Linked DNA regions of Arabidopsis thaliana. The protein of the gene in region 2 interacts with the protein of the main gene of each other region in a pairwise test. Each region holds a gene or a part of one and is shown on either strand. Other genes may lie near its edges.

The links.
Region 1: the proteins of SCAR2 (region 2) and BRK1 interact in binary tests that used the Arabidopsis thaliana proteins (3 or more experiments, as listed by UniProt).

What each region holds. Positions count from the first base shown.
Region 1 is NC_003071.7:9,620,171-9,626,107, forward strand, and holds BRK1 (BRICK1), read left to right. Parts: upstream 1-2,826; 5' UTR 2,827-3,112; coding exon 3,113-3,245; intron 3,246-3,643; coding exon 3,644-3,768; 3' UTR 3,769-4,165; downstream 4,166-5,937. Other genes in the region: AGL17 (AGAMOUS-like 17), read left to right, coding at 580-679, 783-824, 1,096-1,179, 1,337-1,471; AT2G22650 (FAD-dependent oxidoreductase family protein), read right to left, coding at 4,533-4,989, 5,239-5,365, 5,636-5,735, 5,808-5,937. UniProt on the Arabidopsis thaliana protein: Involved in regulation of actin and microtubule organization. Part of a WAVE complex that activates the Arp2/3 complex.
Region 2 is NC_003071.7:16,092,860-16,103,049, reverse strand, and holds SCAR2 (SCAR homolog 2), read right to left. Parts: upstream 7,816-10,190; 5' UTR 7,501-7,815; coding exon 7,346-7,500; intron 7,168-7,345; coding exon 7,004-7,167; intron 6,921-7,003; coding exon 6,797-6,920; intron 6,709-6,796; coding exon 6,579-6,708; intron 6,394-6,578; coding exon 6,332-6,393; intron 6,210-6,331; coding exon 2,894-6,209; intron 2,814-2,893; coding exon 2,727-2,813; intron 2,637-2,726; coding exon 2,529-2,636; intron 2,253-2,528; coding exon 2,199-2,252; 3' UTR 1,829-2,198; downstream 1-1,828. Other genes in the region: AT2G38450 (Sel1 repeat protein), read right to left, coding at 367-404, 498-567, 726-1,034; AT2G38430 (uncharacterized protein), read left to right, coding at 8,240-8,540, 8,709-8,877, 8,963-9,119, 9,204-9,284, 9,452-9,559, 9,654-9,923, 10,005-10,100.

The DNA.
Region 1 (5,937 bases), 6.5 Mb from region 2:
TGGATGTTATGCGCCTAATATGTTTAAAACAATGTATATATACTTCATCGAGTCGATTAGAGAAAGCGGATTAATCCTAAAAAATTTGCACAATTGAGACTAACTTTAACTTTGCACTACCAGATTTAATAACCCCACACTCTATCATTTTTCTTTAAAAAAATTATTTCAAGAATGATAGATTTGGAACCAATTAGTTCATACCTAGTTTCAATGGTGTAATCTCATGAAGATTCATCCGTTCTCTTTAATCTACTCGATGAGATTAATTTTCTTTGAATTAAATTTTGTTATTTTTTGCTTTCAAGTATTTTCCGTTTAATCTACATTCTAGTACTATACTCCGGACCTCTAGCATTTTATTTCTAAAATTTTCTATGTAAACTTTTTCCTCCGGATTGTACAACCAATCACTTATGTGTTTAAGGGTAAGAAAAATATGTATATGTTGAAAACTCGACCATGATTGTTCTGTCGGACTGGTTCATTTCTGAAATTAGTCGAGCGGATTAAATTGGTTGTAGTTGGCCATGTCCGTTCTACATATATTAACTGCAGTAATGTTTTGTGATAAATCAGGCAACTAACGGGAGTGGAATTAAATGGTTTGAGCGTTAAGGAGTTACAAAACATAGAGAGTCAACTTGAAATGAGTTTACGTGGAATTCGTATGAAAAGGGTAATATATGAATGCTCTAGGCCTCTAGCTGGTTCGCATGATGCTTAAAAATTGATAATAGAGCATTGAAGTTTAAGCTAATTATTCTTTTCGAACCTTGCAGGAACAAATTTTGACCAATGAAATTAAAGAGCTAACCAGAAAGGTAAACTATATGATATAACACATGATTATTAAAAATCAGACTCGGATGTTGTTGTTTGTGTTTACATTGTAAACACACATAATTTGCAGATGTAAAATGCAAACGATATTTTTAGTTTCTTCTTCGGTTTGTGTTTGCATTTGCAATTTACAAAAAAATCTGTTCTTTGAGAAAAGATACTAAAGATGTTGTGTTTAAGTTTGAAACGCATTATTAATCAATGTTATCATTTCTAGTTTTCAGGTTCTTATAAGTGTTTTATCTTTTGCAGAGGAATCTTGTTCATCATGAAAACCTCGAATTGTCGAGAAAAGTACAAAGGATTCATCAAGAAAATGTCGAACTATACAAGAAGGTAAAATAGAAACACAAACTTCATTACTTCAAGTTGCAGCTAACAAATCCTTTAAATCAAATTAATCTCCTAGTTGAAACTAGACAAATCTCAATAATTAATTATTGAGATCGTACGTAGTTACAAAAGTGTGTTGTGGTAATGGTCTTGCATACAGGCTTATGGAACGTCGAACACAAATGGATTGGGACATCATGAGCTAGTAGATGCAGTTTATGAATCCCATGCACAGGTTAGGCTGCAGCTAAGCCAGCCTGAGCAGTCCCATTATAAGACATCTTCAAACAGCTAAGATCATATAAGAGATATATAACAAATTGTTCGTTCTTGATTATCTCAAAACCCTTTCAAATATATATACGTGCATATTATATATGAAGACTCGTTTGACTATGTCAATATATATGTTTTCATGCAGGAGTAAGTGTGAGTGTAATCATGTCGGAGAGCAAACCAAAGGTTTGATTTGTACGATATATACTTATATATGGTCTCAAGTGAAAGCAATGGAACAGCTTCTCGATTATATTCTTTTTAGCTTTCACATTTGGTTTTAAGTACATAATTAAGACATACATGAACTACATATATAATATATATTTTAACTAAAAAAATTGAGTGTGATATAGGTTGGTTTAGTATATAAGCTATACTTTACCTAAAGTAAAATCAGAGCTCACTTTTGTGTGTGTGTGTTTGTTTTTGTTAGTCATTGAGATTTTTAATAAAGGGAGATTCATTTGAGATGATTGCTTCTATAGTTTAGAGAAAATTTGCAAAACAAAAAGAGTATACTATATATTGTCGTTTCAGGTAAAACGATGCAAAAAGTCAGCCTAGAAATTAACGAAGTTACATGACCATGACCAACATATGAAAACTGCATTGTTTAACATATCTCTGAAAAGATTATGTTTTTGGTCGTATTAAAATAACAAAAACGAAGTAAAAAAAATCTCAGATGTGAAATCAAACTAAGAGGAGCTAGGAGAAGAAAAATAAACCCTAATTTCCTTGGGATGTAAATTTTCACCGGTCGTACAATATAGGATTTTATGTGATTCAAAATTTTAGTCCAAAAGTAGAGGGTTATAAGTTTCTCGGTTTGAATAAATTAATTTAGTGATTTTGATTTAGCGCTTAAATTTGATTGTAAACACAGTTCACTCTATTATATACTATTGTCCAATATTTTGCATACTGTAATCCACTTTTAACCTACAAAAATATTGATATAATTAGTCCGGTTTACTGCTAATTGAACAACCATTCAAAATTTGATTTGTTGTATAGACAATGAGTTATGCCTCATCAGAAATAATCACAACTTAAAATTATTCTAGTATGATGAAATATGTGTTCTGTTTTGTAAATATTATAGATACAACCTATAAATAGTTATACAAGTTACAACCAATGAGCATACCGAATAATTCACTTGACTTTAAAACAAACGTATCTTGAATTCAAAGATTAAAGATTGGTTGTAATAGTATATATGCACGAAGAACCAAGAATTGCTCAATTTTTAATTGATAGTGACATTTGAATAGAACGAAAAAGATTGAACACTAACTAAGCAATCTACCAAAATATTAAACCAAACCACATAATATCAAATATCTTAAATTATAAAATAGCCCCTATATTTCCTCTTTATCTCATAAAACACCCGTTTCTTCTTCTAATCTTAACTTCTTCTTCATCAATCACACATCATCTAAAAGAAAAACAACCTACGATAAAATTCAGAAACTTTTTCTCTGAGACACCAAAAAAGGAAGGTGACCCTCCTTCTCTAATCGATTGCTTAATCATTTCTGCCGTTGGATTGAATCGAAAAAGGGCGAATTATTTAAAAAGCTTCAGAATTTGAAATCGAAATCTGTGAGTACTGTTGTGTTTGTGGAAGAGAGAGTTTTGGGGTTTAATAATGGCGAAAGCTGGAGGGATCACGAACGCAGTAAACGTAGGAATCGCTGTTCAAGCAGATTGGGAGAATCGAGAATTTATCTCACATATCTCTCTTAATGTTCGTCGTCTCTTCGAATTCCTTGTTCAATTTGGTAAACCTCACTCTCTCACTTATTTCTCTGTGTTGGGTTTTGAATTCAATTGACTAATTTTGGAGTTTTCTCGATTTCGTATTTGCTAAATTTAGAAACTTTGTTTTAGAGTTTTTGTCAAAGTAAGGTTTTTGATGATTGGGAGATTTGATTTTGGTGGTTGGTTAGTGAAAAATTTCACCTTTTTAATTGTTGAGATGATCAGATTTCATTTGCATTTGTATGGTCTTAGATCCATGTGCTAAGAGAGATCTTTGTAATGATCTCTTTGATCTTCTCAGCTTCAATTCTAGCTGGTTTTAGACAATGTTGTGTGTGATGAAACTTTCTTTTATGAGCTAATTTGATTATCGAAGTCATTGATGTCTGTGAGTTTGTAATTTCTCTGTGTGTTTCAGAATCAACCACAAAGAGCAAGTTGGCTTCTTTGAATGAGAAGTTGGATCTGTTGGAACGTCGCTTGGAAATGCTGGAGGTGCAAGTAAGTACCGCGACAGCAAATCCTTCTCTGTTTGCGACGTGAAACACCGTAGACGATATCGAAATCGAAACCGAGCCTGATCCTTTGGCTTTAACAGAAGAAGTCTGTTGTTGAATGTGTACCATTGAATGATTCTTTCTTTCTTCACATAGCTGTGGTAGTAAGTAAACTAGTAGCTTAAAATATGAATCTATTCATAAATATGTGTATCTTTTTTCTGTCCATTAAGATCTCTTTTGAATGACAAGTCATTTCGTTGAACTCTTGAAGTTTTTGCTTTCTTCTGCTGTTGATTTATAAACTTTGCAGAGGTACCCTTTTCATCTTCTATGCATCGGATTTGTATATTCGTCTTTTCTCTTAAAGTGGAACACATGTAAAACGCTCTTGTTGCCCATTTTTTCTTTTTCATCAATGGAGGAAGAAAAAACCGAAAAAGCTCACATCTCTTTTCCTCCATTAGATTCTGTCTGCATTTGTGACTCACATTGTTTTTTTGAGTTCCACTCGGATTCATCGAGACCGACCTAATCGTCTCCACCCGTACGTACTATGAGATCACCCCACGGATGCCTACGATATCCAGGGGTCGCGGACCAACCATAGAACCAAGCCATTGTTGAAAATATTCTGTTTTACGTACCTAAACCACAAAGTTCTGTAGACTATGGATGATTGACCATTTTTAAAAAAATATTCTGAACTCAGTTTTTGTTTTGTCTGAATTGAGATTTGCTGTGTTGACCAAGCTTCCAAGCTTGAAGCTGCAAACAAGAGTGAGAACTGAGAAGTAAACAATGGTACTCTTATTGTCTGTTTTTCTTCCAAGAAGTTAGTTCAGAAGGAAGTAATTCTTCATTGCAACTTAAAACAGCTTTAGACATGAGTTTCCCAAGCCAAGCATGATAGAGTAGTCCCCTTGATCCGAGCCCTGAAAATACCCAGAAGTTGCAAAACTGACCAGCACCTATGAGCTGATTAACACATCCCAAGAGCGGCAGTGATCCATGGCTTGTGACAGGTGGCATTGCTCTCAAGCCCGCCCTTGCTCCCGCAAATTCCCACTTTTCTATGTCTGGATAAACTGCACTTGCTTTCGGAAGAAGCTCGTTGAGAGCTCTTGAAGCTTCCTCTGCTGGGACATCCGATGAATAATTTCTTGATTGCCATTCCCATGTGGATCCCATGTGCAGATTACGGGGTCCCTGAACCGCGAGCCACGCATCTGACAAGATCGAAGGTCCATCGTCCGGGTAACTTCCTCTGCATTACATAATTTAATAAAGAAAAGCTTTTGAACAGGAAAAAAAAACCACAAAGATAAGTAGCTGAGCTCAACATAGTAATGTGCGAGTATGCGACTACATCAACACATACTTTCTTTTTTTGGAAGGTCTCACACTAAAAAAAAACAGAGAAGAATTGTACAATTGAAAGAGGATGTAAAGTTGACATCAGAGTTGAAAAAGAATACTAGGAATGGATAACTATAGGCGCAAGGTCTCGCAATACCTGGCACTCTCGTGTAACTGCATATGAGTAATGACACCTCGGCATGTCCTTAAAGGGAGCTTTCCAGTAAGCCCTGGAAGAAAGTCTACCTTGGATCCAAGACATATTACTACTGCATCATATCCTCCTACATATAACAACACAAAAGCTGTTCATACTAAATTTCTGACCATGCGGATGAGAACCTCAGAGAAAAAGCATGGATACTATACTCTTGGATTGTTAACGGCTATCTAAATTGTGTTTACGGTCTCTAGATTTAAGTTTATCACATCAGTTTTCATGCCTGTGAAACTTGATCCAAAAGGACTAGTTGTGGTTGGAGGATGTTTCTATAAAGCTTACGCAAGTTCCAGAATTAAACAAAAATATAAGAATATAGTTCAAAATCATTCACCTTCAAGTTCAAGCACATCAGTTATAGACTTGTTCACCAAAGTTATGTTTTTCCTTCCCAGTGATGTTTTTGCTGAGCTCTGGCATGCTAGAAAGAGTGCCTAGAGAAGGGAGAAAAACTCGGTAAAGAAAAACGCAAAAGCTTGGTGCTAACATATTTGTGTTGTCTTAACCTGGAGATATCGGTGCGGATTAACATTCATAGCTCCTGGAAAATAGAAGGCGCAGTTCAAAGGCAGGTATAGATTGGGGACGAGATTTTGTGCACCATCTTTGTCAATAGTCTCTACTACACAACTAGCA
Region 2 (10,190 bases):
ATACAAATCACTTATCGAACGAAATGGATCTAAGTAGTATAAATGGATGTTCTTCTTCTGAACTTTTTTTTACCCCGCTGATATTGTTTACTTTGGAGTTTGGAACATAGAAAAAGTAACAAAACAATACGAGTACCTTTTTTAACTCCTTTTCATTGCTAGAATAATCATACACTGTGAGCAAAGGCATTCACCAAAATTTAAACAAAATAAAAAAAGAAGACATATTTGAGTAATAGAGCTACAAAATGATTAGCAAGCATCAAAAGATATGCGCAGAGAGAAGATATTGTTCATTGTTGGAACTTGGATCATCCAAGATTGAAACAAAACAGAACAAACACAAGCTCTCTCGATCAGGACATGCTAATCAGACTCTGAATCTGAATCACTTGCGTTGTAACCTGAGAAATCACAAAAAAAACAAATTCATATCCAAAAGCAAAAAAGAACCAATTTGTTGATAAACCAATTTTGACATGTAATAAAACAAAGACCTGGTCGTTTATCTATCACTTTCCACACTGAAGAACGAACTCTTGATGCTTTCGTAATCCAAAGTCTCCCCTAATCATTAATAAAACACAGAATCAAATTCAAAAACCTAAAAAAGAAGAAACTTGCAAATCAATCTAATCAAATTAGAGAATTTTCAAATCAACCAAACTAAAAAAACCTAAAACTTGGAAAAGAAGAGATTGAAAGGGAGGGAATAAAGACGAAACCTTTCTAGCATCCTTAGGGACTCCATACCCAGAGTAATACATCTGACCTAACAAAACCTGCATAGTGATGTTCCCAGCTTTAGCTTCCTCAAGAGTGTCTTTAAACCACCGCTTCGCACAATCAGAAACCACCGATGAAAGCGGAACGAAACGTCGTGTAGTTTCGCTGGTGGTGGTGGTGGATGATGAATCTTTGTCGGAACTGTCCATGGAGGAAATGGGTCGGATCGGTTTTGAGGATTTGATGAATCCAGCTACTGCTGCGGAAGCTCCTCTTAGCCCTGTTTTGACGGGAATCGATTTTCCCATTTTTAATTTATAAACATAAAAATAAATAAAAGGAAAAAATCGGTTTTCTTCTCAATCTCTTGTTTGGTTTTGGTTTGGTCTCATTGTATAAAATAATATTAAAATATCTTATGGGCCTAGCTCTTAAGCCCACTAGAATTTTTTTATTTTTTTCCCTAGCCCACTAGAAATTAAGACTAGCTCCTTGCTATTTCATAACGGTTACTGAATAAAGAGCTCTGTCTATATAAAGGCCATCATAAATTCTTCACAATTGCATTCTTTCGCTCTCGTCTCCTTGTTTTTTTTAGTAGCATGAGTTCGTCTAAGGTTTTGAGTTCAGACACTATAACGGTAATCAAGAATGATATCTCAGGATTTTTCACTCTCATATAGTTTCTTTTAGCCCTAACGTCTCAGGTGTGAACCCGGTCGAGGCTGTTGCTTATGGTGGTGCTGTTCCGGGTGGTATTTTGCGCGGACGATGTGGTCTGATCCCGATAATCAAGTATTCAGACAGGATACAGGTGGTGCCAGCCGAGAATAGAGATCAAGTATTAAGTAGGCTTCCAACTGATTTACATATGAGGATTGAGGATTGCCATACTTCCAATCCTCCTTCTCGATCCAACTACTCTATTTGGGTTCAAATTGAAACTCAGTTATGCCTGCAAATGATTTTTGTGAAGATCATCCTATTGGTACTAAGCAAGCAAACCATCATATCATTTCAGTCCTCTAGAAACCAAATATTACCTTTGAAGTGTGTGCAGTGCACTAACTAGCTGATTCTCATAGATATTCGTTATCCAAATGACCAAATATACAGTCAAAGGACACTGCAAATGATTGAGAACACACAATACATATCTATGTATGTATTCAAATACACATACATAGCCTACTAAAAGAATGTTCTATGAGCTAAAAAAAAGAACGAAACATTCCTACACACAAATTTCCGTAAAACTACTGCAAATTTCGGAATCTACTTACATTACAACATACACACACCTATAAAACAGTACACAATATACATACATACATATATAAATAACCAATGACTGTATGTATTTAATGTTATATGTCTGAAATAGAGATTGTATAACCTACCTGACTCCAAGTGCTTGCGCACTCATCATGATACAAGAACGAACACCACGGAAAAGCCAACGATCATCGATTTCAAGAATCACTCCAACTATCTGAATCTTCATCCTCGTCGCTTCCAGCCATTGCCTGCACCAGTGTTCAACCGGTTTTAGATGTGTGTGCGATAGAGAAAAAGTGATATTTTATTTGGTCTATGATCAGGCTTATAATTCATTGTTTCCACTTAAGAGACTGCTTCGGATCCAATCTAAGACATAATGTGAGACTAAACTCCTCAGATTTTCATGTCAAATTGAAATGCTTTGACATGAAGCCTCTACGATTAGCAAGGACCACAGAAAAAGGTGAAAAAACTTGAAAACATTTACTATCTTTGAAGGAGATGGAAAGAGAGTAACGAACCATGCGTATTGTATTTGCTTTCTCTAAGATTGCAGCTACCCTTAAGTCTGTTCTAGGACCAGTCTGGATGCTGGGTCGTGTTGTTACTGCCGGCTTTAGATTGACGGACTGCATAAACAAAACACAACTCATAAAATTCCAAATACAAAATTCTGTTCACAGGACCATCTGGGATTTTACATGATCAACATGTGCTACCTTGTTTCGTATTTGTGCAAGCAACGAATCTTTGTCATCTTGCTTTGATTTGATTGGTGGATGGACCATCTCAGAGACTTTCTTCATCTGGCAAATCATCAGAACAAGTGATTAGAGACATAATCTTAGCAAAGGCATGGTATTGCAGACAAGATGAAATTTTGTACCTTGCGTCTGTCATGAGCTGCAACAGCATCGACAAGCGGACTTCTTGGCCTAGGAAGCCTAACCGTAGGGACCACTTCTGTCTTATATGTGTCCAAGGTAGGTGCCACAGAGAAACAGCTAACAGGCCACATAGCATCTCCCACTGAAACAGGATTTATCTTCTGAACTGACGTGTTTGATGATTCTGCAGTTTCTGCATTTGAAGCATCAGGAACCGAATGACCCTTATCTTCTACCTTTGTTGATTGAGTTGGCGTCAGGGATTTGGTTTCAGGACAATGGTGATCATCGCTTGAACTTTGAGATTCATGCACATCAGCATCGTCCTTGAAATCTTCGTGTTTAACCTGAGGCAGCTGCAATGACGACGCTTGAGAGTAAACGAGCTCGTGGTTCTGAGCTGCATGGTCAGCCAAAAGATTGTTCTCCTCAGAACCAAAATCCTCTATGCACTCCTGATAAGGTATTGTAGGGAGCTCAGAACTGTCGTATTGACTATTCAAATCAGTGCTCATGGTTGGGAACTGAATGGATGATTGCAATGGCTTTTCTGATGCATTGTGAACAAACCCTCCAGGAAGTCGTTCTGATTCGTCACTTCCTAAAGATACAGATAGCTCTGATGGTGGAGACCCAATTTGAACATTCAAGCTAGAACCAATGGGTGGTGCCGCTGATAAAGCAGAACTACTGGTTTCGACTGATTCCCCCATGAAGGTAGGAAAAGAATGTGGAACCTTTCCAATAAGCCATTGCATAGGAGGAAGGGGTGGCATGTCCTCTGGATTGGGCGGAATAGTCTCAGGGATAAAACCAAAGCTAGGAAAAGTAGGATCCAGATTCAACTCTTGCTTAGGTCTGTTCAATTCTATACCTGCAGATTGTGGTGCAAATTCTAAGCCTGCTGATTGTGGTTCAAACTCTAAGCCCCTGAAAACATTTGACTGCAGCAATTCCTCATCTGCAACTTCATGGCTTGCATAAGATGTTTGCTCTCTAACTGCCTGGTCGATAGCCTCACTCTCTAAAAGGTTCAGATTATACACTTGTGTGGAATCTATGCAATTATCATCAAGAATGCTCTCACCAGGAGATTTGGTTTCTGTGTCCCTGTTCCTTTGATCCAGAGATGGCTTGGGACTTGTAGATTCAATACTTTCTACGTCCTTGTTGTCTGGTTCAGTACTCAGACCTTCTGAAGACACTTCCAGAGGGCTTTTATGCATTTTTATTTCCGACTCTGGATTATTGTCTTCCAGTAGTGTCCCGTCAGACTCTACAACTGTATCATGGAAAATCTCTCCAGCATCAGAAGACGATTGATAAGTATTGGTCGAAATCCAAGGCAGAGAACCCTTCCCACGAGTCGATGACAGACTAACGGCATGATTAACACCACCACTGGAAGTGTCATTGTCATTATCAGACACATCAAGCTCAACGTTCGGGACAATGTCTGTGGTTGCGTTGTCCAGCCCTGAAAGGTCATGAAAACCTTCATGAGAGATATGGTCATCGCATTTGCTACAAGTAGGTGAAGCATCTCCCGCCAATTTCTCTACTCCCGAGTTAAAATCAGAAGGCACGGACATTCCATTCTCTAGTGTGTCTTCATGGGACTCTGAAACAGACACATCAGCCGTGTTGCCAAAGGCACATGAATGCTCATCGGAGATCTCAGCAACTGAACTTTGAGAATCAATGTCAGCAACTGAACTTTGAGAACCAACGTCGGCAACAGAATTTTTAGAATCAACGTCAACAACAACATTAGTCACTGAAACACAATCGGTTTCATCATCCAGAGTATCTTTTAAGTGAATTCCATCAGCTGAACTTGGACCACAGACTTTAGAGGGCGTATCAGGGGAAACTTCCATCCCCACCCCAGCTGAGCAAGGTACCAGCTTTCCTGTTAGGCAACGACCATCACGTTCTTCAGGATCGCTGCCTGAGTTTGCTAAAACTTCAGAACAAGCAACTATAGAGTTTGTCTCAAAATCAGTATCAGCGATAGGTAACTGTTTACCAGTTTGACTATCAACAAACGCTTGAGGACTAGTGCCTGAGTTTACTAAATTTGAAGCAACCATACAGTTCTTCTCAATGGTACTATCACATCTGCTTCCTTCAGAAGTTGAACTAATTGATGAAGTTTCAGAAGGCAAGTCAGAGTTTTTAGCATCAAAAGATGCACAAGATTTTGAAGAATCGAATGGATCCACCTTTCTTCCATCATTGCCTCCCTTCATTAGATCAAGCCTAACAAGTTCTGGAGAAGTTTCAACGACTTCTGATGCTAAAGATTGAACTGTCAGTGAACATGATTGATCATTCTGAGAGACTGGCCTTGGACTTGAACATGTACCATTCGAACTTAATGATGTCTGGCCATCTACATTGCTGCTACTAACTGATTCCTGAACATTCAAGTCATGAGACACTTTGTTGGCTTCAGGAGTAACGTGAGACATAGAATCCACCAACTCACTCTTAAAACTAGAAGTAGAAGGTAAACATCCCGAAAGTTTCTCTCCATCAGATTGATCATCAATGGATATGCTTGCAGTGTCCGAGTAAGAATAACTAGTGCTCTTTTTCCCAAACGAGCTTCGCCCATTTTCCGAAACTGGTGTGTTTCCATTTGAATGAGAAAATGAAAACTGAGGTGGGTCCTCCATTCTCTCTTCAACCGCATCAGAATATATATGATGGTTCCCATCCTTCAAAGTATCTGATCTACTCTTAGGTCTACACTCATCGTCTGTTTCTGTTTCCGACTCCATGGTGGCTGGTGCGTCCACATAATTGTCAGCCTCACTGGTTAAATCTTCAGAATAACTCCTCTGTTGAAAAAATCCTGGCTTCCCGTTCAAAACCGTTTGTGAATCCTGTGTAATAGTTGTTCCACGGACCTCATTGTATGTAGATTCAGGCACTGTCTCTATATCTTTTTCAATAAAACCCCCATTCATGTTAACATTTGCCACATTTTCCTGCTCACTTGGGAATGAAACCTCTGCTCTGCTTCCTCCATGAGACTTATCCATAGCACCCACCATACTGATTTCAGGTATATCGGTTACTACATCTCTAGCACTATCCATATTCCATGTCAACAATCCGGGGTTTTGGGTAATTATTTCATAACTTATCTTACTATCTACACGTGTCTGCACAAATTTCTCCATGTAGCTTTCCCCTGATTTTGAAATAAGGGAACACCCATCTAGCTTTCTGGTTTTCAACTTCACAACGCGCGCTGGATCTGAATGATGAGCCTCTAAATGCTCCTCCAAAAACAATTCATGCAATCTGTGCCAGTTGAATAATTGAAACCAGCCATTTTTAGTCACAGTCAGATACCAATATAGGAACTACATATATATCATAACAGAAATGACAAACACACAAGACATAAAATAGATAATACTCACTTGGCATGTGATGATAATGCATTTTCAGGTGTCCCTCCATTCCTCCACTGAGATGCTCTCCTCTACAAGAGAATAGAAGGAAAACTATGAGAATCACAAAATGGAAGGTAAGATTACACATTCAAAACACCATGAGCATAAGAAAATCTACTATTCAGAAAATCTACCATGTAATGGAAACCAAAATATAACCAAGAAGGATCACACTGCAACCCATAAGCTACAACCTGAACTAAGAAGCTAGTACCTTTGCTTTCTGTGATTTTTTCTCTCTCTGAATATCATCCCATGATTCTTCATATGAAGACGTTTCAAGCCTAACAAACGATGGATCGGTGTAGCGTTTCAAACAAGCCCCAGCTCCGGAAATATCAAACCTAATCAAAACCATCAGAAGATGTTACATATATCCTTCTCTAACAAACGACTAAAGAAGAAGTCCTATCAAACAAGGCTAAATCATACTTGTCCAGAAGAAATAGCCTTGGAGGACCTCGACATTCCTCATAAGAATCCATCACACAACGAGGTAAGTCACCACTTGTAACCACACTCTGTTCCAATTGTAGATTCGGATGCCATTCCACACCTGAAATAGAGTCACAGAATCATGTTGAAATAATCCAACATCATAGTAGCTGACCAGATCATGAATGTTCATAGCAATCTAACCTTTGTTAGAGAAAAACGGCGAATGATCGGTTTGACACAGTAATGCCTTCTCTATAGAAGGAAACTCTGCTTCCAACTGTTGCACACGAGCCATTAAACCATGGCTTCTAGAAGCAGTAGCCATTACTTCTTCGTGCAAGTCATGAAACATCTCAGCAGCAAACCTTCATCACAAATTACATGAATTTAAAGACAATTCCATCAAAAAATCAAAACTTTTTCCACTTCCACAACCAAATCCAGATTCATCAAAATTGTCGCTTTACAACAACGGATTCCAAAACTTCGAATTCGATGCGCTTAGAGATCAATTAGAGAAATTTCGATTGGAGAGAAACTTACTCAGCGAGATCACCGAGTTGACGCAAAATGCCAACGAGACCAGCCATAGCGACTCCTTCAAGCAGAGCTTCAGGGTCATCTTTATCAGCAGCTTGATACAGATCCGGATCTGCTAATCCATACTCGTTACGAGATTGGTACCTCGTCAACGGCATTGTTTGAGCTTCTCTGTCTGATCAGCTCGCTGATACTTTTGTTCAAATTCTAAAGGTAAGAACTTTAGAAAGAAGAAGACTAGAAAAGCTTCTCTGTCTTCATTTAAGTAGTGACCGACCACCATTAGATATGTGACGACATCACTTAGCTGGAAACTAAAACGGACTTTCTGTGGATTCAAGACGGCGGATATAGGTAGGGGCAAAGAGAGAGAGAGAGAGTCTGAGAACCTCAACGCTAAAAGACTTTTTAAGAAAACATTTCTTTTTCTATTTTTCGATAGCCAGAAATACTTAAAAAATTGTTACTTTTAGTGAAAAATTCTTACAAAACCAAAACCTTGTTGCAATAAAACCTGCATTTAAGACCAAACCCCTCGGGAACCTGATAGTTTCAGGCTTGAGGTTTGTCCAATTGTGATCCCTATCGAAACCAAACACAATCTAATTAAAGTCATTTTTGAGAAACGGATGAGAGTTAATTGAAAGATTAAAAAGGGAGCGAAGAGTCTATTTGAGTGTCACTGTTACTTCTCTGCAGGAATATTAAAAGACGTTGAGTTTCGACTACAGCCTACAGGTATGATTCGACTTCTCTCTTCTCACCTTAAAGTTTCTGTCTTTATATTCTTCTTCGCTCGTTGTAAAGCAATTCTTATTTGAGCTCCAAGTTTGAGATTTTTTTGTTTTATCTTGAAATCGTTTTTGGTTGATGTTGTTGTGAGTTTCAGGTTTAGACATGTCTTATATTCCACCACATAAGAGGCATTCGAAGGATCCGACAAAGCCTACCCCTGTTCCAGATTCTCTTGTTACAAAATTCAAGAAGAACCTTGACTTTAAGAGTAGCACTAGCAGTGTTAAACGCAACAAGATTATCTATTCAGGAGATTCCATTTCCAAATGGTTTCTTGTTGGTTCAAATGGAATTGAGGACGATGTTCCTTCGTATGTTAAGTTTGTGCCCTTGTCCTCAGATTCTGTCGAGTGTAGAAAAGGAGAAAAGCCTTCAATACTGATGAACAACAATGTCCAAAATGGTAAGAAACTATTAGTAGACTTTGGCTATGTGTTTGACAAAATGAATATCATCTAGATGCTGAAATAAACAATACTATTAACTATTTTGTTTGTGCTATTATCGTTTTTGCCAAAAGAAGATGCATTGTATCTATGTTGAGTATGGTTTTTTATATGTTTATATTCAGTGAATATGAATATTGGAGAGAGGAAGGATGAGAGAACTCAGTGGCTATTAGTAGCTGAGAAGGTTATGGAGGATCTTGTGTTGGCATATGAGCGAGTTAAGACTGAAATGAAGGAGCATCATCATGTATCGAGACTGGTTGCTCGGTTTGGTAAAATTTTCTTCTATGGGTAAGCGATTCACCGTCTGATCTCACATTTTGCTGTTTTCAGGAATGGGTTTATATTTTTTCTAACATATACAACTTTAAACCAGGAGTCAAGCTGGTCCTGTGGCTGAATGTTCACTAAAAAACTTGAATAAGATGTTCTCTACTGATCTCCCAATGTCTTACTTACAACACATAAAATCTAATGTTGTACCAAGCCATGGATTCTCTATTGATAAGGAGAAGGAAACATACACTGTGAAGGTACTCGTTTCATTTTCTTAGATTTAGATCTATACTTCGAATGTCATTTGAATGTGCTAATTTGGGTTTGGCTTCTATTTTTAGGTATCGCATTATTCTCGTCCTAATGCAACCATCAACTGTAAATGTACCCGTAAGGAAGATGGACGGCTCAGTATGTACAAGGCAAGTCTCGAGTTTTATGTGTGTAGTGACTACAACCAATAGTAAAATCTCTTCTTTATTGTTCTCGGACTAGCAAGAAAAACAAACAAGAATTTGATAGATGTCACATTTTTACTTGGTCTTCCTTTAATATCTAACTTTGAATCTTGAGTTTTGCTTTTATATAGGTCGACCTTAATCCTGTAAGGCATTTGGTTGTTGATGTGTCATGCATTGATAAGAATCTCGACATGAGACTAACGCTCACCGCTAAGAGGGAAATAACGTATCTCAGTGTAAGTTCAAGTTTGGTATATATATTTTACAATATATGGATAAATAATATGCTCTTCTTAGACTTAGGTTGTGTGATCTTTCTTTGATCGGCAGGATAAAGAGATAGGTGACATTAAAGCGCTATTGGAATCAGCAACTGTTGATCCAAATGTAAAAGGCGGTTTAAGGTGGCCGTTTGGTAAAGCTTTATCTGAAGATGGATACAAAGAATTTGAAGTTTGTCACGTTAGAGCTACTATCTACAAAAATAAAACTCTAAGGCTTAGGGTAAGAGAGACTGATAGATTCAATGAGACGACTGGAACAGGGGAAACCAAGAGGGAGGTGAGTTTGACGCTTAAAGACATCGACACTAAAATACAGGTAAATTATTGTGCTCTTGTACTATTTTAGAAACTCTAATGGAAGTGCGAGGCTTATGGTGATAATACTTGTGGTCTGCAGGAGCAGAACACTGAGAGGGGTTGTGTTTTGGAGATGCTACGAGATGCTCTTGGAACTATATGGGACTTCTTGCATTGCGATGCCTATCTTACATGATGAAGAACCATATGATGTTGCTTGTTCTATCAAGTTTCTTTTTAATTTCTTTTACTTTCTACTGTGTTTTGGTACAATAATGTTGTTTTA